4 linked regions of the Saccharomyces cerevisiae S288C genome follow. Changing the gene in region 2 together with the main gene of any one other region gives a genetic interaction. Each region holds a gene or a part of one and is shown on either strand. Other genes may lie near its edges. The genes, in order: SYS1, RER1, ICE2 and RGP1.

Region 1 (7,754 bases), on a different chromosome or scaffold from region 2:
GTGATCATGCCTGAAGGTCCTAGGAAGTCGGTGTCAATGGCTGATCTCTCCGTCGCTGCCGCAGCACCTAATGGTGAATTCACATCAACTTCCAATGATAGATCACAATGGGTAGCACCTCAAAGCTGGGATGTGGAAACCAAAAGGAAAAAAACAAAACCTAAAGGGAGATCGAAATCAAGAAGGTCAAGTATAGATGCTGATGAACTTGATCCCATGTCACCGGGGCCACCTTCAAAAAAAGACTCTCGTCATCATCACGATCGAAAGGATAACGAATCAATGGTCACTGCGGGTGACAGTAACTCAAGTTTTGTTGATATATGTAAAGAAAACGTTCCGAATGATAGCAAGACCGCACTCGATACTAAATCTGTGAACCGCTTAAAAAGTAATTTGGCTATGAGTCCCCCAAGTATACGATATGCTCCATCAAATTTAGATGGGGACTACGACACGTCTTCCACTTCCTCATCTTTACCGTCCTCATCTATTAGTTCAGAAGATACATCTTCCTGCAGCGATTCCTCTTCGTACACTAACGCGTATATGGAGGCCAACCGAGAGCAGGATAATAAAACACCGATCCTGAATAAAACGAAATCGTATACCAAGAAATTTACATCCTCTTCGGTAAATATGAATTCACCAGATGGTGCCCAGAGTTCTGGATTATTACTACAAGATGAGAAGGACGATGAGGTCGAGTGCCAACTGGAACATTACTATAAAGATTTCAGTGATTTAGATCCAAAGAGGCACTATGCTATTCGTATATTCAATACTGATGACACTTTTACGACTCTCTCATGTACTCCAGCGACTACCGTCGAAGAGATAATACCTGCACTTAAAAGAAAATTTAACATTACAGCGCAAGGGAATTTTCAAATTTCCCTGAAGGTGGGAAAGTTGTCAAAAATTTTGAGACCAACTTCGAAACCTATTTTAATTGAAAGAAAACTTTTACTTTTGAATGGTTATCGAAAGTCAGACCCACTTCATATTATGGGTATAGAGGATTTAAGTTTTGTTTTTAAGTTTCTTTTCCATCCTGTCACACCTTCTCACTTTACTCCTGAACAAGAACAAAGAATAATGAGAAGCGAATTTGTTCACGTAGATTTAAGGAATATGGATCTGACTACACCTCCCATCATTTTTTACCAGCATACGTCAGAAATAGAAAGTTTAGACGTTTCTAATAACGCAAATATATTCCTACCTCTGGAGTTCATTGAAAGCTCGATTAAATTATTAAGTTTGAGAATGGTTAATATTAGAGCATCTAAATTTCCTTCCAATATCACTAAGGCGTATAAACTAGTATCTTTGGAATTACAGAGAAACTTCATAAGAAAAGTACCGAACTCAATCATGAAACTGAGTAATTTAACGATATTAAACCTTCAATGTAATGAGCTTGAAAGCCTACCGGCTGGATTTGTTGAACTGAAAAATCTGCAATTGCTAGACTTGTCTTCAAACAAGTTCATGCACTACCCAGAAGTTATTAACTACTGCACCAATCTTTTACAAATAGACCTATCATATAATAAAATCCAAAGCTTACCACAGTCCACTAAGTACCTAGTAAAGCTTGCGAAGATGAACCTTTCTCATAACAAACTAAATTTTATAGGCGACTTATCGGAAATGACAGATTTGAGGACGCTGAACCTAAGATATAACAGAATATCATCAATTAAGACAAATGCGTCTAACTTGCAGAACCTTTTTTTAACAGATAATAGAATTTCGAACTTTGAAGACACTTTGCCGAAACTAAGAGCCCTTGAAATTCAAGAGAATCCAATCACTTCTATATCCTTCAAAGATTTTTATCCAAAAAACATGACAAGTTTGACGTTGAACAAGGCACAGTTATCGAGTATTCCTGGAGAATTACTCACCAAACTATCTTTCCTCGAGAAACTTGAACTTAATCAGAATAATTTGACTAGACTGCCACAGGAGATATCCAAGTTGACTAAATTAGTTTTCCTTTCAGTGGCGAGAAACAAACTAGAGTATATTCCACCCGAGCTATCTCAACTGAAAAGTTTGAGGACATTAGATCTACATTCTAACAACATAAGGGACTTTGTTGACGGTATGGAAAACCTTGAACTAACATCGCTAAATATTTCATCGAATGCATTCGGTAACTCTAGCTTAGAAAATTCTTTTTACCATAACATGTCATATGGGTCAAAGTTATCTAAAAGCCTGATGTTTTTTATTGCTGCAGACAATCAATTTGATGATGCTATGTGGCCTCTTTTCAATTGCTTTGTCAATCTGAAAGTGCTAAATCTTTCTTACAACAATTTTTCAGATGTATCGCACATGAAACTTGAGAGCATTACCGAATTGTACCTCTCCGGTAATAAGCTCACGACATTGTCGGGTGATACAGTTTTGAAATGGAGCTCTTTAAAGACTTTAATGTTGAATAGTAACCAAATGTTATCTCTGCCTGCAGAATTATCAAATCTCTCACAGCTAAGTGTATTTGATGTTGGAGCAAATCAATTAAAGTATAATATATCAAACTATCATTACGATTGGAACTGGAGGAATAATAAAGAACTAAAATATTTGAATTTTTCAGGAAATCGAAGGTTTGAAATAAAGTCATTTATAAGTCACGATATTGATGCTGATTTGTCAGATCTGACAGTATTACCTCAGTTAAAGGTACTAGGTTTAATGGACGTAACTTTAAATACTACCAAAGTACCGGATGAAAATGTCAATTTCCGTTTAAGGACAACTGCATCAATAATAAATGGGATGCGCTACGGTGTTGCTGATACATTAGGTCAAAGAGACTATGTGTCATCTCGTGATGTTACCTTTGAAAGATTCCGCGGAAATGACGACGAATGCTTACTATGTCTTCATGATAGTAAAAACCAAAATGCAGATTATGGCCACAATATATCAAGAATTGTTAGAGATATTTACGATAAAATACTGATCAGACAACTGGAAAGGTATGGAGACGAAACAGATGATAATATAAAAACTGCACTTCGTTTCAGTTTTTTGCAACTGAATAAGGAGATTAACGGAATGCTAAATTCTGTTGATAATGGTGCCGATGTTGCCAATCTTTCATATGCAGACTTGCTAAGTGGCGCTTGCTCTACTGTGATATATATCAGAGGGAAGAAACTCTTCGCTGCAAATTTAGGTGACTGTATGGCTATTTTATCCAAAAACAATGGTGACTACCAAACGCTAACCAAACAACATCTCCCAACAAAGCGGGAAGAATACGAGAGGATCAGAATATCTGGCGGGTATGTCAACAATGGAAAATTAGATGGTGTTGTAGATGTGTCTAGAGCAGTGGGTTTTTTTGATTTGCTTCCCCACATTCATGCTTCTCCCGACATATCTGTCGTGACATTAACAAAAGCAGACGAGATGCTTATTGTAGCAACGCATAAGTTATGGGAATACATGGACGTGGATACAGTTTGTGATATCGCGCGTGAGAATAGTACTGATCCACTCCGTGCCGCAGCTGAGTTGAAGGATCATGCCATGGCTTACGGCTGTACAGAGAATATTACAATTTTGTGCCTTGCTCTTTACGAGAACATTCAGCAACAAAATCGGTTCACTTTAAATAAAAACTCTTTAATGACTAGAAGAAGTACTTTCGAGGATACTACATTAAGAAGACTTCAACCTGAGATTTCTCCGCCAACAGGTAACCTAGCAATGGTCTTCACTGATATCAAAAGCTCAACCTTCTTATGGGAGCTATTCCCTAACGCAATGAGGACCGCAATAAAAACTCACAATGACATTATGCGTCGTCAACTACGAATTTACGGTGGTTACGAAGTAAAGACAGAAGGAGACGCCTTTATGGTGGCATTTCCTACGCCAACTAGTGGTCTGACATGGTGCTTAAGTGTTCAATTAAAACTCTTGGATGCACAATGGCCGGAGGAAATTACCTCAGTTCAAGACGGCTGCCAAGTTACGGATAGAAATGGTAACATTATCTATCAAGGCCTATCAGTTAGAATGGGTATTCATTGGGGCTGCCCAGTTCCAGAGCTTGATTTAGTGACTCAAAGAATGGACTATTTGGGGCCGATGGTCAATAAGGCAGCAAGGGTCCAGGGCGTCGCTGACGGTGGTCAGATTGCAATGAGTAGTGATTTTTACTCTGAATTCAACAAGATAATGAAGTATCATGAGCGAGTAGTGAAGGGCAAGGAATCTCTCAAGGAAGTTTATGGTGAAGAAATTATCGGAGAGGTTCTTGAAAGAGAAATTGCCATGCTGGAAAGTATTGGTTGGGCATTTTTTGACTTTGGCGAGCATAAGCTAAAGGGACTCGAAACCAAAGAACTCGTTACTATTGCGTATCCTAAGATTCTTGCTTCCAGACACGAATTTGCATCTGAAGATGAGCAGTCAAAATTAATCAATGAAACGATGTTGTTTCGTTTAAGAGTCATTTCAAACAGACTGGAATCTATAATGTCAGCTTTAAGCGGCGGATTTATTGAACTAGACTCTCGGACGGAGGGAAGTTATATTAAATTTAACCCTAAAGTTGAAAATGGTATTATGCAATCGATTTCTGAGAAGGATGCGTTGTTATTTTTTGATCATGTAATTACTAGAATCGAATCCAGTGTGGCATTATTACATTTACGACAACAGAGGTGTTCAGGACTGGAAATTTGCAGAAACGATAAAACATCTGCTCGAAGCAATATTTTCAATGTTGTTGACGAACTTTTACAAATGGTTAAGAACGCAAAGGATTTATCAACTTGAGTTCTGTTCGTAAATTATGTACCACCCTGTTACTCGTTTCATATTCACGCTAGAGAAGTACCTCAGCTTACTAGATCCATTCACACATTGCAAGTATACTAAAACTATATAAAATTTAAGTACGTAAACTCTTTACTTATTATTATCTTCAATGTCATCACGTACTTAATTATGTTAAATATAGATTGTGTATAAATAAGAAATAGGATCTGTTTTGAAAAATTGGCCAAAAAGGCAGATTTATTAAGCCTATAGAGATAAGGTTCTTGCCATTTTTCATACATTTACTGTTTTCTCTTGAATGACTATAATATTGCCAAAATTGCCTCGAATATGTTGTTTCATCTCCTCTCATATTTGGCTTTCTAAGTCTTTTAGTTGTATTGGTGATTGCTCCAATTCTGAATGATTACTATGCTGCTGACTAGGCGTAACCAATCCAACTTCTCCTTCATTAGGATCAACCAAGCCCTCAAAAAAGGTGTCTCTAAGCTCTCTCCATCTTGTTGTCCATGTCCCCAAAAATATTAGTATTAAAGATGATAAAATTTGAAGAAAAAACCAAGAAAAAGAAGGAAATTTCCGAGTATAGAGGAACACCACAATAAAATTGATGGCATGTATAGTGATAGCAAAATCCCATGCGAGTTTACTCCGTCCAACGATAACAGTTAAGAAAAAAACACATATTAATGAATCCAGAAGCCATAACAGTGAGATTGATAAACCGTATGCGTTCGTAAAGTCGATATTCTCCCAAGAAAACAGCCATTCCTTGATATTGAGATCATATCCCGCTAGCTTCGCCCAACAATAAAAAAGAACGATCGCTGTGGTGTAATAAAAAATCTGTAAAAGAACAATTTGAAGTCCAATCTTACTTGGAGAGAGAGAATCTTGTTTGAAGATCTGGGAAGGTTTCAACTCATTCGGCACTCGCAAATACCTTCTTATCGAAACCATGTTACAGTAATTCAAATGCCTATTTTTTATCTCACTTCTATGTGTACCCTTCCTTAGCCTTCCTAAAGATCATCTCTTAACATGAAGTTACAGAATATTACCGTGAATATCGCGAGCTACGAATATTTTGGGTGGGGAGATATTTATTCATGATTAGCCTTGTCCTATAGTGTTACAATGGAGCAAATTGTTCACCGTTAGTATTTTGAATACGACAATATTAAATGAATAATAGCGCCTATCTCTTGTTACGTTTGGCGATTTGTATACCTTGTTAAATAAACTGATTAAAAGCCGGGTTATGGCCGTACACAAGTTATTAGAAAGCAAATACACTTCCTTATATCTGGTCACCTAGTTAATAAAAGGAAGTCTTTAATTTTGGCAAAAACCACTATATATATTAGTCAACAACTGAAATATTACCAGAATTTGTCTCCTAAATGTCGTTCAGCGGAAAAAAATTTAGGTCTAGAAGACAGCAGCTAGTATATGAAGCATCTTTAGCGGGGCGATACAAAAAAGCATTGAGTAAGCACCCCTTTCTTTTTTTTGGTTTACCATTTTGTGCAACAATAGTATTGGGTTCGTTTTGGTTGTCAAGCTTTACAGCGATCAAGTACGAGCAAGGCGATCGTAAAGTTCAGGAAATTAATGAAGAGGATATCTTGAAAATAAGGAAGAATCAAAGGGAATTTGATATTAAAGAAGAATATTATCGTTTACAAGGTCTTTCTGAAGAGGATTGGGAGCCTGTGCGCGTCGCTAGGTTAAAGGATGAATCTGAGAATGTCTGGTAACATTCAAAACGTGAACATCTTTGTTATTCTTCTGTCCTTAAACTACTAAACAAAAAAAACTATGACCATTGATTGTGCAAAGAAAAGACCACGAGAATGTCTAGGAAATGATTGTAAATACCTTTATTCATTGGAAAATTCTTATCTATAAAACTTATAAAAAATTAAATACTGAATTTATTGCTCTGCATCATAAGGTATATATCATTCAAACGTGAACTCAGTTAGTTACGTTCATGTTCAAAGTTTTTAAGACAAAAACTCCCATTAGTGCGGTGAAAATATAGCAAGCAATAGACAGAGGCTTCTTGAAAAAAGAGCTTTTCGGGTAGTCGTACTTTATCAAGACTTGGCCATTGGCAACTTGACTAATCAAATTTCTGTAACTGAAAGTTAATTTAACGTGACCTTTATTTAGGTCAAAGTATGATTTCTGGGTTTCTATAGAAACATTTGTAAAAGGGACTGGAGAATCAATATCGAATATTTCGGCCCCTTCCGGAAGAAATACCGATAATTCAACATTATCATATACAGTGTCCGGTGGGCCGTTTAGAATTGGGATAGAAGCAACGAATTTCTCGTCTGAGCCAGAGGATACATGCAAGAAATCGGACAATTTATTAGTCCAACCGACAGTAAAATTGTAGTTCCAACCTCCAAAGATTGGGAATCTTGGTCTTATAAAGAAATGGTCACGTTCTGCATGCGACGTGGAAACAAGGCCAACCAAATCAGTGAAATAATGATCAGTAGCTCCCTCAGGCAGGAGCATGTCTAAGACAGTAACAAAGTGAGTTTGTCTCATATTCTGAGTTTGAATCTGTTTCATTAATTCTAATCTTGAAAATCCTTTAGACAGTTTTGCGGCTTTGTTTGTTAATTCATAATATTCCTCAAATTGTATTGTGGAAGCCCAATGAGAAAGCCAAATATCTCTTCTCAAATTCACTACCTGATTCAATGGGGCATTGTGGGAATAAACAATTGCTAAGGTTTCGTTTGAAGAAAATCTCGGAATATCTTCCCAAGGCCCAAACTCAAAAGAGTTTCCATTAGCTTTTCCCAGTAAACTCTCGTCATTTGGGGGGTGGTACTCCTCAAATGATGAGCTACCAATCAGCGTAAAAGAGGCCTTCTTGGTATCGTAAGCAGAAAGCGGCAATCTGTTCGTTTCCC
Region 2 (7,242 bases):
CTATTTAACGTGATTTTTTCCTCAATTTATCGTGAAAGATTTTTAACTACAAGTCATGAATATGATAATGGTTACACCAGTAGGTTTGTACTATAATGTGGGTGATGAAACACGGATTATACGCAATATACGATTCTCACCGCATGACAAGTGGATCCCGGGTGGGAAACTGAAGAAATCAATTTTGAAGGTACTGCTCTTCTATACTACTCCACATTTTGAATAATTATGAAGTTTTAATATGTTTGTTATTTGGGGTATATGAATGGGGCGGAAATTCATTTGAATTTTAATTCTACGTCAACGAGTCCTCTCTGGCTAAAATGTATCTAGTACTTTCAATGATTGCTCTAAATCGCGGACATTAAGGACGAACAGAAAAGTATAGGCATGAGTACTAATGGTAAAATTGTAAACCCATCAACATATAGCTTAGATGTTCAAAAACTTTTTCAATCATTACCTTTTTACTGTTAAGTTGCTTTACCAACTTTTTCTTTATTACTTCTATTGAATAATAATATATGAGCAAAACTTCCACCAGTAAACGTTTCATATATCCATTCAATGAAATATATATTTCTTACTATTTCTTTTTTAACTTTCGGAAATCAAATACACTAATATTTTAAATTTTATTTTTTAAAAATAAACTACTTTTTATTTTTTACTTTTTTTAAAAATATAATAAAATCAAATATCATCATGTGACTTATTTGTACTATTTTTTCAATGAATAGCTTTCTGTGGATTTTCCATATTGTTTGGCGCTGATCGCCATGCCATGTTTATGAAATGTATAGGTACTGTACTATAAGCGGAAGGGGAAGGGTTCGGTTTATATGAGTGATTTAGATAAATTTTAGAGTTTAGCTACGCTGCAAGCTATTGAAACTATTGTGTAATAGAAGTGGTAGCAATATGTAGCAAAGAAGACAAGTAATCCTTATATTCTGTTTGACAAGTGTTAGATAAAAAGAAAAAAATTCGAAGTTAATGTTGAAATTTCACTTATTTTAGTCATCTTTGAAAAGTTCATCAAGGTATTGGATGGTATATTTTAAGACACAGCCTATATCTGTTGGTTTGTCAAGTTGCTCACTGTGATTTTTGAAGTACTGAGTACGAATATTTTGCCATTGTTGTTTCCACTATTCTCTATTAGGTCTAGGTATTTTTCACGTTTTTTCACGTCGTTCCTTTTTAGTACACTATCTGTAATAAGTAGTGTTTCTATTGCATCTAATTTTGCAGCTCTCTCGGTTTCTTCCGCGCCATACCATGCTTTGTTATCGTCTTTGCTCAAATGTTCAAGGAAATCGTCCATGATACGGGATTCTTTCAACTTTTTAGTGTTATGCACTATCATAGAGTATTCAGGATTTCTTACAACCTCATCGATTCCCTGTAGATATTTTGTAGAACTAGAACAATGGGCGAAAACAGCTTATCTCGGTTCCTTAAAACTGGCTTATTTGCTCCTTCTCTGCATATATCAGAAATTTTTTCAGCAGTGTCTTCGCATAAAATCCAGGGGAGCATAATATTATTATTCTCAGTTCATCAAAATTGAAATTTCTAACCACTGTGTCATCCGTTCTTTCTTGTCACACAATTTGCTAATATCAGTTCTATCTTTCTTTTTTGGAAACTTCAATTTTAGTTTTAATATAATTGAAGACGCTTTCAATAAGCAAATGCCAGAAAATCCTTCTTGCAGAACCACCGTAGCAGTTTCTGAGTTTGATTTGGAGTCGATTGCTTCTTTCAAAAGTTTTCTGGCACATTTGTTAAAGTGGCGCTTAATAGCAGTAAATAGATGTTCACTGGTGCTAGCTATATAGCGCAGATAATTCTCTATTACATCAAATTCGTGGGATAAGTTTTTTAATCTTACAGCTACTAAATTGGTAACTGTTTTTCTTATCATCTCATTCTTCTTAGTTTTGAATAATTTTTCTGAAATATAACCTTGTCCTTCTTGTCTATTATTATTGATAAATTGTAAAAAGGTCATCTTTAAGTTGACGAATCAACGTGATAATTGTGTAACCGTTATCTTCGCTGTCGTTTTTGCTACAGATATGATTTTCATTTTCCATTGAAGTCTATTGTGCCACTTAATCAAAATGCGTTCGATGATAAATTTACTAAGTTCTTTAATAACTTGGAAAACTAATACACTAAAACACATGCACGCCACGGAGTATGGACATTATAAACGTGTGAACATTTCAAACTCACAACTTGCATGACATTACTCTCTCTTTTGCATCCTTTATTCCTCGACATACCCCATTTCTCACTAATTTGGTATTAGTAATTATGCAGAAAGGTTCGAAGCTGTCAATTCTTTTTAGACATGTTTCTTGAAAGTCTTTACAAAAATTTATCAATTGGAGGCATCTCAAGCTCTCCATTTATAAATGGAAGAAAATGAGCCTCTTCCCTTCAATTTTGCTTAATCAATAACTTCATGTATTCTTCCAATATAAGAGAAGATGAGTAGAAGGAGAAAATAATCACAATTATTCTGTAACTATCATATAATTTTGTTTACATATAATTAAGATACGAATGTGTTCGTTGAATAGGTATGTGGAGTCAGGGTATATCAGTTAGAAGAATGAGAATATTTCTTCTTACCGATATCTAAGGGTATATATCTATATTTTATCATATGTTGAATCTGCCTTCTCATAGTTAAAAAAAACAATAATATGAAATACATCAATAAGATGGGCCAAAATACTGGAATATCGAAGATTGAAAATAGCGACAACAAGAGGGAAATGACAGTGGCTCTAATGCTGTTATACCAGAATTTGAACTCTGGTAATCTTCTGATGAATGGACGGAATTCTTCTGATTTTTCTCCAGCTTCCAATTCGTTGTTTTCTTCATCTTGCTGTAAGGACATATCGAATTTTGGGGTCAAAAAGGCTAAAAATTGATTCAATAAAAATAGACCTAGACCATAACAAATCACATACCAGCCTTCGGCCATTGTAATACGAACCATAAACAAACATAACAAACCACCCAATACAGCCCACCTCTCCTTAGCGTGAGGAGTGACTTTATCCAAATAGTGTTGATATAATAATTTCATTGTATTCATCTTAGTGATTAAGGGGTTACTTGAACCACCGTTCATTGTATCAGAGCTATCGTAATCCATCTTGCTTCCTTTTTTTGATACTCTATGCCTTTCGTGTAACACTTAGTCCCAAATCGAAATCGCCTTTCTTGTATCGTTATTTTTCTTATGTATAATTCGTGTTCTACTGCAGAGGCGTGTTTTGACAAGTTTTTTTTTCCTCTGCGAACGAAAAACCCACAATTTTTAACCTCATTGAGGTAAGGTTTTCCAGAGGAGAGGTTGAGGAGCCCTGCGAAGCAATTATATTGAATCATTCACATGCTTGTTATTGTTCTGCAGGGCTTGGCAGGTTTTTTATCAGTATGCATAATTGAAGGAGAAAGTATACATGAAAGGTTTGACTAACTAAGGGAGAAAACTTCCATTTCTTACATAGATCATCGCCATTCTATGTCAAAAGCGCTATAATAAACTTCATCGATCTATTTACGGGCTTTCATATGATTTATTTCTGCTAGATTTTGTTGGTAATGGTCTGTACTTGTATTGCGCGTTGCATTATTGTTATTCATCTCTGGTGAGGGAACAACTGTCTCAAAGATTCCCACTTTTTTATCCGTTGAATGATGCCCGTAGTATACCTATATCCAGTTTCCTCATTCTAAAAGATTTTTGCGTTTCCTGTTGCTGCATGATGGTTTTAAGGCAGTTATACTATTATAGGTCAACTAAACATATTTATCAGGGCATTTCCATTACTTCCATAATAATTATAAGTGTGTTCCTTGTATTAGGCATATTTACATATGGCTGTTCCATCTCTAATTTACCGTTGAAAAATTCAGGTAAATTTGGCGTTTTCTATTTGGAACACATAAATTATTTGTGGGTAATGGCAAATCTGCTTAAATGTTTCAAGTATGTGCCTCAAATGAGTATAAACTGGATGGGATGCTCAACAGTAGGTTTATCATCAAAGTTTGCATTGATATCATTTTTGGCTGAATCTATCGATTTATTAGGTAGACTGGTAATACCGACCAATGCATTGTTTTACGAGATACCATTTAATTCAACGCCCTTTTGGGTAAAATTGATACAATTTGTCACCTTATTGGTCATACTTTGTCAAGTTCAGTATGTTTACGTAGGACGGAAACCACGGTTGCCAAAAGGAAAACTATAACAAGGTCAGCTCATTCTCTACCTTAATGGCTTTGCGATGTTTGCAAATTTAAGGAGTTTTAGATAATGCATTTATTATTACTATTTTTTCTTTTATTTTTCCATATTTACAGGCGACATACTATGATAGAATAGAATCTAAAGTTTTTTACCCAAAATGGAGGTAGCTATCTTTACACCAGTGCCAACATGTCTTTCTGGGTCTGATTGAAAGTCTTCTAGAGTTACAGGTTTTGTATATTGTAATAAATTATCTAACTCTGCTTTCATTTTTTTTCTTAGCTCTTCATCTCTTGTAATAATGAGAGCATTCGATTCCAAATCTAATGAATACGCCCTTCTCGTATAGTTTGAAGATCCTATAACCGTGATAAAGGGTTTCCAATTGTTAGCATCATTTTTATCACGAGCGGAAAGCCAAATACCTTTTGCGTGATATGACCAACCATTCGGCTTATTTACTACGCCTCTTTGCCATTCTCTTAATGTAATAGCATGATCTTGTCTGTACCTACATACATCTTGTAGAAATTTTTTTGACAGGTACAAGTAAGCACCAGGTAAATTTGATGAGACGCCCTTTGATTGGTAAAAGCCGTTTGCAAAGGGGGAAGCTGTTATTACATTTGCCTCAGCAACCGGCGTTGCCAGCAGTTTTGCTTTGATGTCTGGCAAAATATTGAAGTATCCTGCAGTGAACGTCCAAGAAATGGCATTGCTTGTTATAGTGGAAAGCAATGACAATATTGTTCTTTTTTCGGTCGATTTGTCATTATATTTGGGAAAAAGTGGAGTGAATTGAGAAATTGGGTAAACTAATGTGGAGAATTGACCCACGGCAGTAATCGGGAGGCTTTGTTTAGAACTCTTTAAAAAGCCATCTAGTAATTGAGATGCTTCCCTTAAAAACAGCCTTTTATTTTTCGTCGGTTCAACAGTAGGATTCGAATCTGGCCAAATGATGTTGATGCTACCATCCACCATTGGCTTTATAATCTGATAACTGAAGGAACTTATGAGTTGATGTAATTTAAAATAATAGTTGGAGAAGTTTCGAGATTTAAAGAGATAGTATCTATCTTGTCTGTTGGTGAAATAGTCGTTCGAAAGGTTGGCTCCCGAAAGAATGACCTCGTTATCAAACCCATATATTTTCATATGTTGTAAGCCTAAACCTTCATTAAATCTCTTGGGAACCAAGACTTTTTTCCAACCATGATAAGCAGGCGTCTTGTACAATCGGCAATCCACTCTCTCTGACCCATATTTGGCTACTAAAGACGATAATAAAGTGGCGGAACAGGCGGAAGGCAATTCTCTTGTTCCTCGAAGGCCATCAAGTAGAAAAGAAACTTTCAACTTGGGGTTCTTGGTCAATGCCTGGGATATGCAGTCCACCAACTCAGTCTCGCTTTTGCCTAAATACAGAGACGCAATGAATATTCTATTTTGTGAATTAAGTATTTTTGTCTTCAAGAGATCGTAAAACTGAGATGGAGATTCGATTATATCGATTTCTTTTGCTTGGAAATGAAAGCATGTTTGTAAATTCTGTTGTAGGGACTTAGTGATCGTGTTCAAATAATTGCCAAATGGAGAAGGGTTCGCAGCGGACATCTGCCTTTTTATATTGAAGGGTTTCTGGAGAGGTAGGGATAATAATCTGTAATGAGGACGAGTGAGTTGGAGCAAACGAGTCGTCATTAATATATGTTATCCTGAGTATGCTATTAGCAATTATGGACAAGCTGGGTGTCCTACATTATATCTACTTTCTTGTGTGGGCTGCTTTTTAGGAGTGTTCGGGCGTGAATGTGTCCATGTGCTACTGCTTTTTTATTTATGTTTTCTTCTTCACACATGGGTTACTGGCAGAAAATAAAGAAGAGAGAGGATCAATATATATATATATATGCTAAAAGATTATAATATGAAACTTATTTAAAATCAGGCAGTTAGGAACTCAACATATTTCTATCATTCACTTGTTAGTGCATGAGAAGAAGTAATTGCAATATCACCTAGAATTCCTTCGTAAAATCTTTATATTAACGATGTCCGCATCACTGGCATTTCTTCGAAGCTTAGCTCTATTAGAAAGAGACATCAAAGTTTCATTGGTGACGAATGAGTTTTGGTAAGTGTCAGACCTATCCCAAATATCAGTGGGTTCATCGTCTGTGGTGGTCGTGTTGAATGAATCATTATTATAATGCTGAATTTTTTCGTTAGTAGGCGTTTGGCAAGGGGTGATGTAGCAGTTCACATCATGCGTTATAGTCATATCATCAGCTCCAGGCTCATCATGGAATTTTTTCATGTTAGGCTTTGATATATGCGTGGGATTGGGCTTAGGCATGGGTATTGGCGCAATAGTTTGTCCTCGCATAATGTTGACAATACTAGTGGAAGCACGTTCAAGGACCGTACGTATCGGAGCAAACCACCGTTTCCATTCTAGACTTATGTATACACTGGGTACCCCGCAGATTGAGTGGAACACACCCAATATAAATCCAAAGATGAGTCCTATGATGCTGCCAAAAGCACAAAGCACAGCAAAATATTGAAACAACGTCAAAACCACATAGAAGTCTAATGTGCTTGTTTGTGCAACTAAACGGCTCAGCGACGTCCCCAGGAACAACCTCAATGGGATGTTGATAGGCAATGCCACAAGCTGAAACCCATTCCATACGAAAATTGATAAAGGCAGTTGCACGAGGGCACGGAAGAGAGGTGAAATCACTCCCATGCATAGCTGCACGCTCCAATCCACCACAAACATATTGCGGCTAGTTATATACCTGCTTTCTCCTCCTACAGTTGCTGATGAAGCCCTAAATGGTTTCTTCTTTTAGTCGTTGCTCACCCGGCAGCTCTTTAGTTTTTTTTATTTTTTTTTTTTTCTTTTGAGATTTCTCACTATAAAAAAAGAAGAAATTACTTTAAAT
Region 3 (8,462 bases), on a different chromosome or scaffold from region 2:
TTTCCAGGACTGTTTGGTGGTGAAAGAAATTATTGGATAATTGCATCAGCTGTAATCATCATTCCCCTATGTTTAGTGAAGAAACTAGATCAATTGAAGTATTCTAGTATTCTAGGTCTTTTCGCGCTAGCATACATATCAATTCTGGTGTTCAGTCATTTTGTGTTTGAGCTGGGAAAGGGTGAATTAACAAATATATTAAGAAATGACATATGCTGGTGGAAAATTCACGACTTTAAAGGATTATTATCAACTTTTAGCATTATAATTTTTGCTTTTACGGGATCAATGAACCTATTCCCCATGATAAATGAATTAAAAGACAACAGCATGGAAAATATCACTTTCGTTATCAATAATTCGATATCCTTATCAACAGCACTATTTTTGATCGTTGGTTTATCAGGATATTTAACCTTCGGTAATGAAACCTTGGGTAATTTAATGTTGAACTACGATCCTAACTCAATTTGGATAGTAATTGGCAAATTCTGTCTTGGCTCAATGTTAATTCTTTCCTTCCCGCTTCTCTTTCATCCGCTGCGCATAGCAGTTAACAATGTCATCATCTGGATTGAGATCACTTATGGTGGGGCAAATCCCGAAGAGGACCCACAAGTTTCGGAATACACTCGTGCTTCCAACCTAAGACCAATTAGCATGACTGTGGAAGATCCAGCCCAGCCCAGTGATGCACTAGACGCAACTTCTTATAACGAGCAAGAATGTTTACTACCTAACGGGAACTTTGATAATGGTTCAATTGAAAGTCAAGAGAACAATAATGATGAAAGAGGGACTATGGCGGTCGCCGGGGATAACGAGCATCATGCGCCATTTGTTAAGTCTAGATTTTACTGGATTACTGCATTATTACTAATAAGCATGTATACCTTGGCGTTGTCTGTCCAGTCATTTGCACTGGTTCTTTCATTTGTAGGGGCTACAGGTTCAACGTCTATTTCATTCACTTTACCTGGATTATTAGGTTACAAATTAATAGGCTTGGATTCTTTGGCTATTGGGAAGATGATTCCACCAAAAGATAGATTTTACAAAAGGTGCAGCTTATTGCTAGTCTTCTACGGACTATCTGTGATGTTTTTGTCATTGTATGTAACTGTATTCAACCGTTCAGATGAAGCCTAAATGGACCAATAGTCATGCAAGAGAAGTATAAAACAGTATATAGTAAATAGTAAATAGAATCAGAGACAGCAGACTCAAAGTTTTATGCTTAACGCGATCATCGACTAGTTTAATACTTTATTCTATGGCACTTACAAAAAGGTATTACCCTGCTAAACAATAAAGATCCCTGAAAAAATGGAGCAGGCTCAGAGAATGTGACTTCATGCGCTTTAGTGGTAAAAATACTGCCTAAATAGTCCCTAAAAAAAAAAGAATAAAAAATAACTCCGAAGCGGGGAGTCGAACCCCGGTCTCCACGGTGAGAACGTGATGTGATAGCCGTTACACTACATCGGATTTGATTAGCTTGATTTGAATAGAAAAACATGTTACCATATCAGTAAATATGAATGATCTTTATTTATATATATATGTCCGGAAAATTGTAGGAATAAAAACCTGTTGGAGTAAAAATCAACCATCATCTATCAACTAGTAGTTACACTATCAATATATTATCATATACGGTGTTAAATGGTGACGCAAGTTATGAGAAGCTGTCATTGAAGTTGGAGGAAGCTGAAATGCAAGGATTGATAATGTAATAGGATAATGAAACATATAAAACGGAATAAGGAATAAAACGGAATGAGGAATAATCTTAATATTAGTATGTAGAAATACAGATTCCATTTTGAGGATTCCTAAATCCTCGAGGAAAACTTCTAGTATATATACTGTATACATAATATTATAGCCTTTATCAACAATGGAATCCCAACAATTATCTCAAAATTCACCCATTTCTCTCTTATATACCATAAGAATATACAGTATTTATCCCTAATTATTACTGCCTTTCAATTACTGTTCATTGACAACTGGGAACAAATAAGCAAGCCGTATTAATAACCACGGTAATTACTGTTGGAACGAGAGTAATTAATAGTGACATGAGTTGCTATGGTAACAATCTAATGCTTACATCGTATATTAATGTACAACTCGTATACGTTTAAGTGTGATTGCGCCTATTGCAGAAGGAATGTTAAACGAGAAGCTCAGACAATACTGAAGCTGTGTTAAAGACCTATTAGTTGAACATGTTATGGTAGGTACATATATGAGGAATATGAGTCGTCACATCAATGTATAGTAACTACCGGAATCACTATTATATTGGTCATAATTAATATGACCAATCGGCGTGTGTTTTATATACCTCTCTTATTTAGTATAAGAAGATCAGTACTCACTTCTTCATTAATACTAATTTTTAACCTCTAATTATCAACAATTACATATAATTATATGTTCTGTTATGGTTTTCTGTACTATCGAGGAGAACTTACAGTATACCCAATATATCCATAGATTTGCTTTTAAAAAAATGCAATTTACATTATTATTTGAAGATTCACCTGTGTTTCTAAACACGAAATTAAAAAACGTCAGTAATTCATATCGTTCTTAATAATTATTTCTCTCTGCGTTTTTATACCCTGTCACCCACTCTCCCACTACAATGTTAATCTTTACGCATCAGCTTCCGGAGACTATTAACATTTTTAATCAATTCAGCCGATGTTATAATCTGCTTCATTTTCCGAAGATCATATGTGATAATGGCACGAAAATATCGAACGCTAGACAGTGTGCAGTAGTCCATTTTTGTTTCAATCGCAATTAAATGCTATCCAGATTCAAGATACTATCGAAAAAACTACAGTTGTTAAACCTCGTCACCGCCTGACGATGATTTGTTTGCAAAAGAATCCTCATACACATCAAGAGGCGCACTATGTGATTCTAAATGGTCCCCGTAAAAGGCGAATAACTTCATATTAAGAATTGCATTAAGTTGCCAAAAGAATAGCTCTAAGAGTCTGTTTAGATCAACAGTCTGATCAGTTTTAAAGAACTTATTAATCTTTACCAACGAATAAACCCCAAAACAGAACGTTCCTAGACATAGGAGTGAATGTTTGAATTTGAACCACTTGGGGTGGTGAGCGTTTGCATTACAGCGAGAGCACGAAAATTTCGAGCACCGTTTTGTTTTCCTTTTGAAGTAGTGCTTCCCAAAGTTACCATCTTCTAGCAGTAGGAGTTGGTGCGTAGCAAAAATAAACAGTGATATCAAATCAAAGACAAGTTGTACCTTCAAAAACTTTGCAACTTTTGGATGCTGCTTCTTTAAAGGATGCAATGGCGGAATTAGAAATGTGTCAACTATATAGACGATATCGGCAACTCTTGATAATTTTTTAACCATTATAAAAAATCTAGATCGGGGTACTTCAGTTTGGTCTATTGCGACACTCGATTCCAATTCCCTCGTACGTTGCATTCCCAAATTTAAGAATGGATTCTTCTCATTATTCACTTTTCTAAGAGGGAAAGAATAATAATCCAAGGATGAAGATCATCTTAAGTACCTCTTATCGTTGTGATAAGAGAAGAAAAAGGGTTCTTGGAAATTAGCAAAACAGAAAAAAAAAAACCGAAATAAAATTATCTAGAATAATCTGCATCGGCTTCAGGTTAAAATCTACCACGTAATAAAAGTAGTATTTCAGGGAAATGTTATATATTTATATATTTATGTGTCTACATATTAGAGTATGAGTTAAAATGTTCATTGTATTTATTAGAAAATAGTGGTGAGCGTAAGGGATTTTCACTATGAACGTGCAAGGGACTAATGCAAATAATAACAAAAAAAGAAACTAACCAAATGTAAAAATGGTTCAGGAATGGCACTTAAAACAGATATCATCTATCACTTAGTTATAAGTCAGTTGGTATTTCACCTTCCTTTTTGTCTTCGCGTATTTGGCAAAGCTGGTAATGCGGCTCTTTTGACAATGCATCAGCTTCAACTACCAGAACCTATTAATTCTGTAGCGTATACCAAAATAGTACAGAAAATGTTGCACCAGTTCCAAAATCCCCATGAATCTACTATAATTTCTGGTTGATCTACGCCAAACCACTTTTCACTGCAACCCCATATGCACAGGTCTTTCTTTAGCTCACCTGAATATTGTAAAATCAGGTGAGTATACATAGCAATTAATATGCAAGGACTGTACCAATACAATCCCTTCATGATCCTGCGACTCTTGCGCAACTGTTTGTCATTTTTTCTTTGTAATGCTGGAATAATCCTCGTTGCCGAGTAAAACATCAGAACTCTAAAGCATAAATTGATTACTATAGCTGGGGAAACTGATTCGCTTGCCATCTTAATTGTAACTTGACAAAATTCATTAATGGATAGCGGAACACTAAAGGTGAAATTCTTGAAAAATTTCCAAAATGGTTTAGATATCAAGGATACTTTTTCGAATGATAGAATGCTAATGAGTTTATCATGAAAATCACCGGTTTTCTTTCTTCCTCTAGGAATAAAGGACCCCCATAACACCTCTGCATTTTTCAATATGACATTATGAAAGTAGCACAAAAGATTGTCAGCTGTGGGCAGATTTCTTTGATGTTTCTGCCAGACGTCTTTGAACAAATTTAAAATTTCATCAGTCGCGGTAGTAGCTAATTTGGGGGAAATTTCATAAATACAACGAACAATATACGCAAAAAATAAAGAGCTCTCTATGACGGATCCTTTTTGACTCACAATACCATACAACCCCAGTCCACATACCATAGACAAAACAAGTCCTAATAAGGACGCCGTTTGGATGGATAACGGCCATATGGGGGTGACATAAATCCGATACAAATAGTACAGCGATGCGGTAATCACACCTCCGGAGGTTAACAATGAGGAAATAATCCACGTGTTTGAATTCAAGTCATTTGATAACCATCTATTAGTTTCCCCGACGGCCTGAATGGCTAAAATAGTGAAAAAACCTTCCGATAGAGTAAAAAAAGGTGTGGACTTGGTAAGCACGAATTGCCACGGTTGTACAACAAATCGATAGTAGTAATAATATAAGACGTAGTTAATTTGATTGGAATTCAAGCTATTTTTCAAAGCTTCCAGGAACGACTCCGACTCATTATATTTATTTTTCAGAACGTTTCCCAACTCATCATTAGAAAATCCAGACAAAAACAGGTATAGCAAAGATGCAATGATAAAATGTTGTGAGTAATACAGACAGTTGGTAAAAAAAATGTATAGTCTTCCTCCATGTCGTCTTGCCAACACGTTAAGAGTCGTAGTTATGAAATATAAAGTGAACAGTGTCACCGTGAAGGAAAGCCCGCATTCCAAACCACCAACTTTAAACGAGATTGGAATTGAAAGTAGTGTGAATAACAGATAGAAACATGCTGCGCAGATTCGTCCACTCTGCATGAAGCTTTTGGACAAACTGGTCATCGTTGCCTAATCTTTAGCGTGATCGGCCACAAACAGCACCTCTCTAATAGATCTAAGCAATTACGCGATGGGCTGAGGGGAGCAAAACGGAAAAAGAAGCTTCACGAATACTATAAGATCCACCAACACTTTACGCACAGCCCTTCCAGTATCACTACACCTCGATCCTTTACCTATGTTCATCTTCTCATCAATCATCTCTCCGAAACCAGTAACCGCTCCAGTCCCTTGCTTCGCTTCAAGCTGATGCGATTCCTCGTGTACCATGATCTGAAAAATTTTTCCTTCGCAATACTACTATAATTTAGCTCATCGCATATTTTGCAATAATATAATACAGGGAATAAACTGCATTGGTTCAGTGAGACGGTGGTATAATTGCGAAGTGACCAAATTGTAATGAGTGACAGTTCTGTGAGGGAAAAGAATGATAATTTCCGTGGCTATCGGAAAAGAGGAAGACAAGAACTGAGGAAGATTAAAAGATCTTCTGCCAGAACTGAAGGCGGAAGCACAGAAACATTAGAGGACGTAGCAGAAGATATTGACCATAGATCCGATGAGGATGAAGTGTCCGATGTCGACAGTGGCGATGATTTCGATATTGAGGATGAAGAGGGTAAAAAGGAAAAAGTTTATGACGCTTTATTGACGATTCTCAAATCTGAACATCCAGAGCCAAAAAGAAGAAGGCGAGAGGCTGACGAGAGTAACAAAGCTCCTGCCGAAGTTGGGGAGGATGAGCACGAAAATACAGAACATGGACCAGTGGATGATCAATTGGAGATAGAGAATGGCCTTTTGGGTAATCACGAGGATGATAACGACGATGACAGCAGTGGAGACGAAAAAGATATAGACAGTGAAGATGAGCAAGATCCTTTCGAGTCTCATTTCAACCAAGTTCCGGAGAAATTCGTTGATAAGTTGTCGAATGCTTTCAAGACCAAAAGTGTAAAATACAAATCCGTAAAGGGCTCACTAAGTGACAGTGAATCATATATATATGCTAAACCGGTAGTAATTGGTGAGGAAGCATTGGTGGAAAGTCCGTACAGGTCATCATCTATATATTCATACTTTTTGAAACAAAGGCTAAAAGTGCAAAATGGACTATTGGATAAAAAAACTGATCCATTGACTGCTTTGCAAAAAAAATTAGTAGACCCCATGTTTCAGTATAAAGACATATTATACGAGTATGACTCCTACGAAAAGGACGAAGACGAGTACAGAGATTTATATGCTTTGCATGTTTTGAATCACATCTACAAGACAAGAGATAGAATCTTGAAAAATAATCAAAGATTACAGGATAACCCAGACACTGAACACCTAGATCAAGGTTTTACAAGACCAAAAGTGTTAATTGTAGTCCCTACTAGAGAGGTGGCGTACCGCGTTGTAGATAAGATAATTTCAAAATCTGGTATAGATCAGGTTGACAAGAAGGGAAAGTTCTACGACCAATTCCGTGACGACTCCTTACCTCCAAAGTCCAAACCAAAATCTTTCCAACACATATTTAGGGGGAACACCAACGATTTTTTTGTTGTCGGTCTCAAATTCACAAGAAAGGCTATAAAACTTTATAGCAATTTTTACCAGTCTGACATTATTGTATGTTCGCCATTGGGTATTCAAATGATCTTAGAAAATACAGATAAAAAAAAGAGGCAGGACGATTTTTTGTCCTCAATAGAGTTGATGGTGATTGATCAATTACATTCAATAGAATACCAGAACATATCTCATATTTTCACCATCTTTGACCATCTTAACAAAATCCCGGATCAACAACATGAAGCTGACTTTAGCAGAATTCGGATGTGGTACATTAATGAACAAGCTAAGCTCTTCAGACAGACAATGGTATTCACAAAATACATCTCGCCAGCGGCTAATTCATTAATCAATGGTAGATGCCGTAACATGGCAGGAAGATGGAAGAATCACAAGGTAATAGGATCAGAAAACTCCAGTATTGGGCAATCCGGTTTGAAAATCAGGCAAATCTTTCAAAGATTTGACATTATTGGGAATTCGATTATTGAAGAGCCTGACTACAGATTTAAATTTTTTACAAGTGTCATCATTCCTGGTATTGTCAAATCCACCGGGTATGAAGACGGAATACTGATTTACATTCCTGATTACACTGATTTCATTCGTATTAGAAACTACATGAAAGAGAAGACGACGATTTTATTTGGGGATATAAATGAGTACTCTAGCCAAAGACAGCTCAATGCAAATAGGTCATTGTTTCAACAGGGGCGTCTAAAAGTTATGTTGTATACGGAAAGACTGCACCATTATAGACGTTATGAAATCAAGGGTGTCAAGAGCGTCGTTTTTTATAAGCCTCCAAACAATCCTGAATTTTACAATGAAGTTGTCAGATTTATTGGTAAGAACGCCTTTCTAGGTAATACCGATTTAAACATATCCACTGTTAGATGCATTTATAGCAAGCTTGATGGTCTTTCACTCGAAAGAATTGTGGGGACGAAAAGAGCAGCTGTATTATCGCATGCACAAAAGGAAATTTATGAATTTAAATAAATATTAGCACTGCCACAATGTATAGAGTACACAATGAAGAATATTATCATTCACAAATACTTTTAATCGCTTTCTTTCTTGTTCGTTGTGTTCACAAGAAAAGGGTTTATTACTTCAGGGAACTTTCTGCTCTTAGTTTCTATATTTTCGCTTTTTGCTGAACCAGTTGCTTTATTGGTCTCTGCGTCTACCCTCTTGGACCTAGTAATACATTGAATACTATCAAAGCTTGCAGGTGATCGGAGAGTCGCATTTATGGTTTCATGCGGTGATATATAATTAGAAGGACGGTCATTAAAATGTGCACTCCTCGTGCGCACAGCAAAGTTATGCAGTGGGTAGCACTTTCGAGTTTTCAAATTAAGCATTTTGCTGTCTTCGTAAATGTTTCCTGGAATATTTCTGAGGCCCG
Region 4 (8,898 bases), on a different chromosome or scaffold from region 2:
AACTTCCGAGCTTTTTATTTTGGTATTCTCTTCTGATATTTCTCCCTTTGGTTGCGTCTGTTCGCTCTTCAACTCATCTCCTTCTGTTTGAGAAGCGCTGTTTATACGTTGCGACTTAATTTTTTGCTCTCTTTCAGGAAACGAAGCCTCTTCTTCCAGTGCCCTCTTCTTTCTTTCCTTTCCAATCTTGTACTCCCTAGCATCCTGAAGTTTTTTCCTGTGCTCTTGATTGATTTTGTACAAAAGTTTCTCTTTGAAACTATCATCCAACGCTTCCACTTTTCTGGGTTCCTCGAACAAACCATCAACACCAGTCTTTTCGTTAACTTTATCAAAATCGAACAAGTATCGCGATCTTAGAAACCGTAAAGTTTGCCATTGTCTGATTATTTCATCTTTCGCTTCTCCACCGGAAGTTTCAGAAGAAATTTTTGATTCCCATTTCGCTTGGGCTGCTTCATAGACACCTTCAGGCTTCTTTACTTCTTGCTCAATTTTATCTAGACCAGTAGGTATTTTCCAAACATTATTAATCAATTTATTCCCCATCTTGATGAACGTAAACTTTTTAAAAGTTTCGTCAAAAGCGGGTGGCGGTATCTTCTCCTTAGATATTCTGAAGTTTTGGAATTCTTTAAAGCCATCGATCTTGGCGGTTGTAAACTTTTCGTCAGAAGACATTAATTTGCGGATAACACGATAAAAGTCAGGGTCTTTAATTTTATAAAATTTCAAAACACGATTGTCGCAAATGTATGAACATAAATTGAGCCCACGCTTTTTGTTAACTTCATCAAGGTTCTCAAAATCAATATCGCTCAACGGGTTTTCCCTCAAATAGCAGCTTTTATAGAAATTCCTCGTTTCATCAGAAGAAATTAAATTGCGTATAAGATTTGTTGTGAAACATAGTTGTAAAATGAACTGTTTGCGGTAGTAATCATCGTCCTCTTGAGTCAATTGTTTATAAAGGCAGGTCGTATTGCTCAAAGAGATATCCATAATGGTAGGTCGAAGAGTGTAGTCATCTGATTCTTTAATATTCTGTAGATTCGCCCAAAATTCATTCCTGTCCATTTTCATTGCGTTTGAATGCTTCATATACACGGGTAATTTAGGGGTCATAACATCGTAATTCGCGTAATACTCAGTGTTCAGAGCTTCCTCTAAGGAATATCTAGTCCTATTGTTCATCTTGATTTTGCTGTAAAAGTTCTCTTCGATTTCCAAGATTGCATCAAGAAGGGGACTTAATGATCTGTCCACATCATTTTTATATTCTAAATCGCTAAAAGCAAATTCGATCGGGCAAATAATTAGATGATAAAACACGAAGTTATAATCTGCAGCAAATATAACGTCGGAACTGCGGTTGCTTTCTCGTTCACGTGCTGATCTGTTCCATTCGTTATCAGATTCTTGTAAAGCTGAAATAGAAGCGGATCTATTGAAGTTCGATTCTTCATTTATAGGTAGTAGCTCGGATAAAAAGTTCTCTAGTTTGTATTTCATATTATAATGTTTGACGGTATTAAGGATGTCATTATTCTCTAATTTAGCTAAAATATCGTTCCAGTGGCGCAGCTTTTCGTATAAAGGCTGTTTGTAACTAATCAAATTGCTCTCCCCCAATGATACTGGCTCAACAGATGTATTCATTTTGAACCATTCGATACGTGATTCAGCATAGGGCCAAAACTTCAAAAACGTAGATGGTGAGTTTAGCAAATCAATGATGGTGGAAAATAACTCGAAAAAGGTATTTCCCCAGCTAGCTGGATTAGATCTATTAAATCTTGAGTTATACACAAAATCGAGACCTATACACGAATTTAGTAACCCTTTTTCAAGATTATTTTCTTCTTCGTCTTCAATAGCATTTGTCATTGAATCTATAATGAATCTTTTAAGTATAATGTCAATCAAAGAATCTCTATCATGAATTGCCGAAATATTTTTTTCGAGCGGTTCCCATTCAAAATTGAGAACACTTGCATGCAACATTGAAGATGGAAGTGGTTCATGTCGAATGGAGTCAAACGAAACTGGGAGTGCTTTAAAAGTTTTCTGGAGAAAACCTATTGAGTTTTGGATCAATTCCTCGGTATTAGACATTATTACTCCTTTGCCCAAGTTTTAATGCCTCTTGAATTGTTAAAATCATCTATTAATTTACTGATCAAGCTATGGCAAAAACCTGATCATTCTAACGAAAAATGTCATTAGAGAAGCAATATGCATCGTGCGAAATGAGCAGTCTTGAAATCGCACGGACAGCAACCCATGACATCAAGAGATGACTATTACGACAATAAAGCCGGTTAACTAACTTATAAATGTATCTGTACATACCCTTTATGAAGAGAGTATAGTAAATCCTCTTTACTGGATTGGATTCAAATGCAAAACCAATTATACGAGTAAACTGCACCCATTTATTGCTTACCATCCCATGAAATCTTCGGATGTACACAGTATTGGAATGGGAACGTAACATGTAAACTCTTCACCTTCTAAATTCTCTTTTGAATGGAATAGGATGCCCTTTTTATCCTCATAAAATTGATCCAAAGTGATACTTTCTGTCTTTGCAATTATTACAAATTTTAGTCCTATCATCCACTTATGTTGAAAAACATCTGTCTTGAATTGTCCGGTAATCTGGTTTGTAGGCGATCTTGGAGGAAGTAATTTCACCGATACGGACTTGCACTCATCGAAACAAATAAAATGTTTCTCATACACCGAGTTTCCTTTTGGTTTGCTCCCTATTCCTTTTCCTTCAGTCTTATATTTTGGATTTATAATTTCAAACGATTCTAAGGATACAGTCAACGAAGTCACTTTAAGTAAAGGCGTCGTTATCGGATCTAATTCAATGACTAAATTTATATCATCAGTTGTCTTATAAAAAGGTGCTGATAAGGATACTTTTGCCATAGTCTCATTATTTCTGTTAATTTGATATGCGTTCTGTAAATTAATTAGCTGAGGTAGAAGATTAGAATTCTCATCTGACTTAACGAGAGAACAATCGTTCCACATCTTTTGCTCGAGGTTAGAAATGTTATCGCGTACCGAATAACTTTTTCTCCTCTTAGTTACAGCATCGCTTCTCAGGCTAGACTCTGCAGACGTCACCATTTCGTTCGAAAAGTGTGAGTCGTTGGGTTCAGGATCCGAAGAATCCTCATCCTTTCCGAACTGTACCCCCATTTGCAAGTCAATAAGTTCGTCTATATCTCTTGACACATTTTGGTTAGATTCCACCAGTTCAATGAAGTTTTTTTTGACACGCTTGACAAATTCATTATCTTCTAATGGAGAATCAATGTCAATTATAGAAGATTTTCTCCTACCAAATGATACAGCAGAAGCCGTAGAAACTTTTCGAGTAAACAAACGTGGCTTTAGTTCCTTTATGTTACCTGTCTTTAATATGATAGCAGGCTTATCCAGACGTGATGTGTACTGTTCGGCATTCGAACTAATATATGGTGCTATTGTTATTGGGACTCTATTTGAAAATTTCTCGATATTATCATCAGAAAGTACATCCGCACCAACCTCCAGCGTGTAATTTATTGATGCCACTTTTGACGATGAATAACTTGGGCATATATCTTTTGGCAGCTTTGTGGATTTAAAATAGAATGTTCTTACTTCACCTGGTTCTAAAGAAATTTCAGAAAATAAAAGCGTCTGTGGTATTAAAAGAAGAGGTAATGTTTTTATACTGGTATCGTTTGATATCATTAAGGTCCGTTCGTTATAGGTACCTGTTCTTCCCCTAGAACCGCTTTCTGAGAAAAGAAGACCATTGGTCACATTTGTATAATCTGAGTTGAGGTAGTTGGTTAAATTTCTTTTACCTTTGAAATGTTCTCCATCTTCCAATGCAAGAACAGAATTTGTCGTATGTCCAGGTACAATATCTAGTCCTACCATTTTTACTTCATCTTGTTTAAATTTTGACTCTGAAATTACCTCTGAATCGTATTGAAAGACCCCCGATATTTGAACATAACCGGATATTAACGTTACAGGTTGATGAAAATACATTTGCTTCTGTATTTTTTCTCTTAACATCTTACTCTCATTTAGCATTTTCATGTTATCCACATCCACACTCTCTTCAGGTTCGCCTGTTCTTTTGAAGGCACCTAGTAATGATTTTAGGGACCAGGTTTGATTTTCCATCGTGCCTTCACCATCATCTTGCACTTTCGCTTGTTGTTCCAACTTCTCTTCAACAGCTTTATCGACAGTGAGAAGCTTTTCTTTATAGTTGAACAATTCATGCTGTGAGCCTAGGTGCTTAAATCGGAAAGCAATTGATATATGTTCTCCACCAAAATAGGAATTCGATTCATGTATGATCTCCAGTTTGATGTTTTCTCTTATGAGAAATGTATCGATTCTGTGCGCACGCATATCTTCTTCTAAAGTATGAAAAATATCACAATCAAAATCAACAGCTCAAGAAATTATGGGCTAGCTTTCGCTGTTTGTTTCGACTGGCAGCCTTTGCATTGCCCCGTAGGTATCAAAGCTTCTTTGAAGCTGAATTGATCTTGAAAAATAGCACTTTGGAGACGCGCCTTACGCTTTATAGGAGACTTCGGAGTAGACTTCGATTAAAAAATAAAAATTACACAAGAAGTTCAAGTATTATGTTTAATATTCAAACAACGTTTCCACCTCATGGAGAAATGAAGACTTTTATCGTTCTCCGTGAGGTGGATTTACTGTTATTGTCGTTAGAGTTCATGAATGTTTCTCTTGCGCGAGCAGATCTACTGGTCAGGAATCTACATTACTTTGCAATCCATAGTACGCTTGTTATGCTGCATCAATACGAATATATATATCTAATGCTAACATCTGGTTTCTGTAGATATCTTGGCGTGTGTTTCTTTATGATAATACAAAAATATGTAACTCCTGGTGTGATGCTTGGGCGGTGGAAGGTTACGGCTTAGTAATTACGAAATTGATGAAAAAAGTTAGCAGCTGCTATAAAAGGTGCGATAACCTCTTGTGATCATCTGCTATGTGGAAGCTGGTTTACAACCTACAATTTTTCAATTAACAGTTTGAGAATAAATTAGGGGTATCGTACTACCGTAAAGAACAAGAAAATGGCTGGTAATCTTGTTTCATGGGCCTGCAAGCTCTGTAGATCTCCTGAAGGGTTTGGACCTATATCCTTTTACGGTGACTTTACTCAATGCTTCATCGACGGTGTGATCCTAAATCTATCAGCAATTTTCATGATAACCTTCGGTATCAGAGATTTAGTTAACCTTTGCAAGAAAAAACACTCTGGCATCAAATATAGGCGGAATTGGATTATTGTCTCTAGGATGGCACTAGTTCTGTTGGAGATAGCGTTTGTTTCACTTGCGTCTTTAAATATTTCTAAAGAAGAAGCGGAAAACTTTACCATTGTAAGTCAATATGCTTCTACAATGTTATCTTTATTTGTTGCTTTAGCCTTACACTGGATAGAATACGATAGATCAGTTGTAGCCAATACGGTACTTTTATTCTATTGGCTTTTTGAAACATTCGGTAATTTTGCTAAACTAATAAATATTCTAATTAGACACACCTACGAAGGCATTTGGTATTCCGGACAAACGGGTTTCATACTAACGTTATTCCAAGTAATAACATGTGCCAGTATCCTGTTACTTGAAGCTCTTCCAAAGAAGCCGCTAATGCCACATCAACACATACATCAAACTTTAACAAGAAGAAAACCAAATCCATACGATAGCGCAAACATATTTTCCAGGATTACCTTCTCTTGGATGTCAGGTTTGATGAAAACTGGCTATGAAAAATACTTAGTGGAAGCAGATTTATATAAATTACCGAGGAACTTTAGTAGTGAAGAACTCTCTCAAAAATTGGAGAAAAACTGGGAAAATGAGTTGAAGCAAAAATCAAATCCTTCATTATCATGGGCTATATGCAGAACTTTTGGATCTAAAATGCTTTTAGCCGCATTCTTTAAAGCAATTCATGATGTTCTAGCATTTACTCAACCACAACTACTAAGGATTTTAATCAAGTTCGTCACAGACTATAACAGTGAGAGACAGGATGACCATTCTTCTCTTCAAGGGTTTGAAAATAACCACCCACAAAAATTACCCATTGTAAGAGGGTTTTTGATTGCGTTTGCTATGTTTCTGGTGGGCTTTACTCAGACATCTGTCCTGCATCAATATTTCCTGAATGTCTTCAACACAGGCATGTATATTAAGAGCGCCCTAACGGCTTTAATATATCAAAAATCCTTAGTGCTATCTAATGAGGCTTCTGGACTTTCCTCTACCGGTGACATTGTCAATCTCATGAGTGTGGATGTTCAAAAATTACAAGATTTAACACAATGGCTAAATTTAATATGGTCAGGGCCTTTTCAAATCATTATTTGCTTATATTCTCTGTATAAGTTGTTGGGAAATTCCATGTGGGTTGGCGTGATTATACTAGTTATTATGATGCCATTGAACTCATTTTTGATGAGGATACAAAAGAAGTTGCAAAAATCCCAGATGAAGTACAAAGATGAAAGGACCCGTGTTATAAGTGAAATACTAAACAATATTAAATCTTTGAAGTTATATGCATGGGAGAAGCCTTATAGGGAAAAGCTAGAAGAAGTAAGAAATAACAAAGAGTTAAAAAATCTTACAAAACTAGGATGTTATATGGCTGTGACAAGTTTTCAGTTCAATATAGTACCATTCCTTGTTTCATGTTGTACCTTTGCTGTATTTGTTTATACTGAGGATAGAGCATTGACTACTGACTTAGTTTTCCCTGCTTTGACTCTGTTCAACCTGCTCTCATTCCCACTAATGATTATTCCTATGGTTTTAAATTCTTTTATCGAAGCTTCTGTTTCTATTGGTAGATTATTTACATTCTTTACCAATGAAGAGCTACAACCAGATTCGGTTCAGCGTTTACCAAAAGTAAAAAATATTGGCGATGTAGCCATTAACATTGGAGATGATGCTACCTTTTTATGGCAACGGAAACCGGAATACAAAGTAGCCTTAAAGAATATTAATTTCCAAGCTAAAAAAGGAAATTTGACCTGTATTGTTGGTAAAGTTGGCAGTGGTAAAACAGCTCTATTGTCATGCATGTTAGGTGATCTATTCAGGGTTAAAGGTTTCGCCACCGTTCATGGTTCTGTTGCTTATGTTTCACAAGTTCCATGGATAATGAATGGTACTGTAAAGGAAAACATTTTATTTGGGCATAGATACGACGCGGAATTTTACGAAAAAACGATCAAGGCCTGTGCGTTAACTATTGATCTTGCAATTTTGATGGATGGAGATAAGACATTAGTTGGCGAGAAAGGGATCTCCTTATCTGGAGGACAAAAAGCTCGTTTGTCTTTAGCAAGAGCAGTTTATGCGAGAGCTGACACTTATTTACTTGATGATCCTTTGGCAGCTGTTGATGAACACGTTGCCAGGCACTTGATCGAACATGTGTTGGGTCCAAATGGTTTATTACATACAAAAACGAAGGTATTAGCCACTAATAAGGTGAGCGCGTTATCCATCGCAGATTCTATTGCATTATTAGATAATGGAGAAATCACACAGCAGGGTACATATGATGAGATTACGAAGGACGCTGATTCGCCATTATGGAAATTGCTCAACAACTATGGTAAAAAAAATAACGGTAAGTCGAATGAATTCGGTGACTCCTCTGAAAGCTCAGTTCGAGAAAGTAGTATACCTGTAGAAGGAGAGCTGGAACAACTGCAGAAATTAAATGATTTGGATTTTGGCAACTCTGACGCCATAAGTTTAAGGAGGGCCAGTGATGCAACTTTGGGAAGCATCGATTTTGGTGACGATGAAAATATTGCTAAAAGAGAGCATCGTGAACAGGGAAAAGTAAAGTGGAACATTTACCTAGAGTACGCTAAAGCTTGCAACCCGAAAAGCGTTTGTGTATTCATATTGTTTATTGTTATATCGATGTTCCTCTCTGTTATGGGTAACGTTTGGTTGAAACATTGGTCTGAAGTTAATAGCCGCTATGGATCTAATCCAAATGCCGCGCGTTACTTGGCCATTTATTTTGCACTTGGTATTGGTTCAGCACTGGCAACATTAATCCAGACAATCGTTCTCTGGGTTTTTTGTACCATTCATGCCTCCAAATATTTACACAACTTGATGACAAACTCTGTGTTGAGAGCCCCAATGACGTTTTTTGAAACAACACCAATCGGTAGAATTCTAAACAGATTCTCAAATGACATATACAAAGTGGATGCTTTATTAGGAAGAACATTTTCTCAGTTTTTCGTCAATGCAGTGAAAGTCACATTCACTATTACGGTTATCTGTGCGACGACATGGCAATTTATCTTCATTATCATTCCACTAAGTGTGTTTTACATCTACTACCAGCAGTATTACCTGAGAACATCAAGGGAGTTGCGTCGTTTAGACTCTATTACTAGGTCTCCAATCTACTCTCATTTCCAAGAGACTTTGGGTGGCCTTGCAACGGTTAGAGGTTATTCTCAACAGAAAAGGTTTTCCCACATTAATCAATGCCGCATTGATAATAACATGAGTGCGTTCTATCCCTCTATCAATGCTAACCGTTGGCTAGCATATAGGTTGGAACTTATTGGTTCAATTATCATTCTAGGTGCTGCAACTTTATCCGTTTTTAGACTAAAACAAGGCACATTAACGGCAGGTATGGTGGGTTTATCATTAAGCTATGCTTTACAAATCACTCAAACGTTAAATTGGATTGTTAGAATGACTGTGGAAGTTGAAACGAATATTGTTTCAGTGGAAAGAATAAAGGAATATGCTGATTTGAAGAGCGAGG

Evidence for each region.
Region 1: mutations in RER1 (region 2) and SYS1 together harm fitness more than expected from each alone (negative genetic interaction), as found in Saccharomyces cerevisiae (5 studies listed by BioGRID, with this or other methods).
Region 3: mutations in RER1 (region 2) and ICE2 together harm fitness more than expected from each alone (negative genetic interaction), as found in Saccharomyces cerevisiae (5 studies listed by BioGRID, with this or other methods).
Region 4: mutations in RER1 (region 2) and RGP1 together harm fitness more than expected from each alone (negative genetic interaction), as found in Saccharomyces cerevisiae (4 studies listed by BioGRID).

Annotation. Positions count from the first base shown.
Region 1 is NC_001142.9:426,426-434,179, forward strand, and holds SYS1 (Sys1p), read right to left. Parts: upstream 5,776-7,754; coding exon 5,164-5,775; downstream 1-5,163. Other genes in the region: CYR1 (adenylate cyclase), read left to right, coding at 1-4,812; COX16 (Cox16p), read left to right, coding at 6,219-6,575; dolichyl-diphosphooligosaccharide--protein glycotransferase subunit OST1, read right to left, coding at 6,796-7,754. UniProt on the Saccharomyces cerevisiae protein: Necessary for the targeting of ARL3 to the Golgi. Involved in protein trafficking. May serve as a receptor for acetylated ARL3.
Region 2 is NC_001135.5:107,855-115,096, reverse strand, and holds RER1 (protein retrieval receptor), read right to left. Parts: upstream 3,182-7,242; coding exon 2,615-3,181; downstream 1-2,614. Other genes in the region: YCL001W-B (uncharacterized protein), read right to left, coding at 1,073-1,327; YCL001W-A (uncharacterized protein), read right to left, coding at 1,556-2,017; YCL002C (uncharacterized protein), read left to right, coding at 3,422-3,463, 3,540-4,289; PGS1 (CDP-diacylglycerol--glycerol-3-phosphate 3-phosphatidyltransferase), read right to left, coding at 4,427-5,992; LDB16 (Ldb16p), read right to left, coding at 6,306-7,076. UniProt on the Saccharomyces cerevisiae protein: Involved in the retrieval of endoplasmic reticulum membrane proteins from the early Golgi compartment. Required for correct localization of SEC12, SEC71 and SEC63 in the endoplasmic reticulum.
Region 3 is NC_001141.2:190,618-199,079, reverse strand, and holds ICE2 (Ice2p), read right to left. Parts: upstream 5,486-8,462; coding exon 4,010-5,485; downstream 1-4,009. Other genes in the region: AVT7 (Avt7p), read left to right, coding at 1-1,149; YIL089W (uncharacterized protein), read right to left, coding at 2,864-3,481; rRNA-binding ribosome biosynthesis protein UTP25, read left to right, coding at 5,885-8,050; YIL092W (uncharacterized protein), read right to left, coding at 8,113-8,462.
Region 4 is NC_001136.10:723,795-732,692, reverse strand, and holds RGP1 (Rgp1p), read right to left. Parts: upstream 4,435-8,898; coding exon 2,443-4,434; downstream 1-2,442. Other genes in the region: HPR1 (Hpr1p), read right to left, coding at 1-2,115; ATP-binding cassette glutathione S-conjugate transporter YCF1, read left to right, coding at 5,142-8,898. UniProt on the Saccharomyces cerevisiae protein: The RIC1-RGP1 complex acts as a guanine nucleotide exchange factor (GEF), which activates YPT6 by exchanging bound GDP for free GTP. It is thereby required for efficient fusion of endosome-derived vesicles with the Golgi.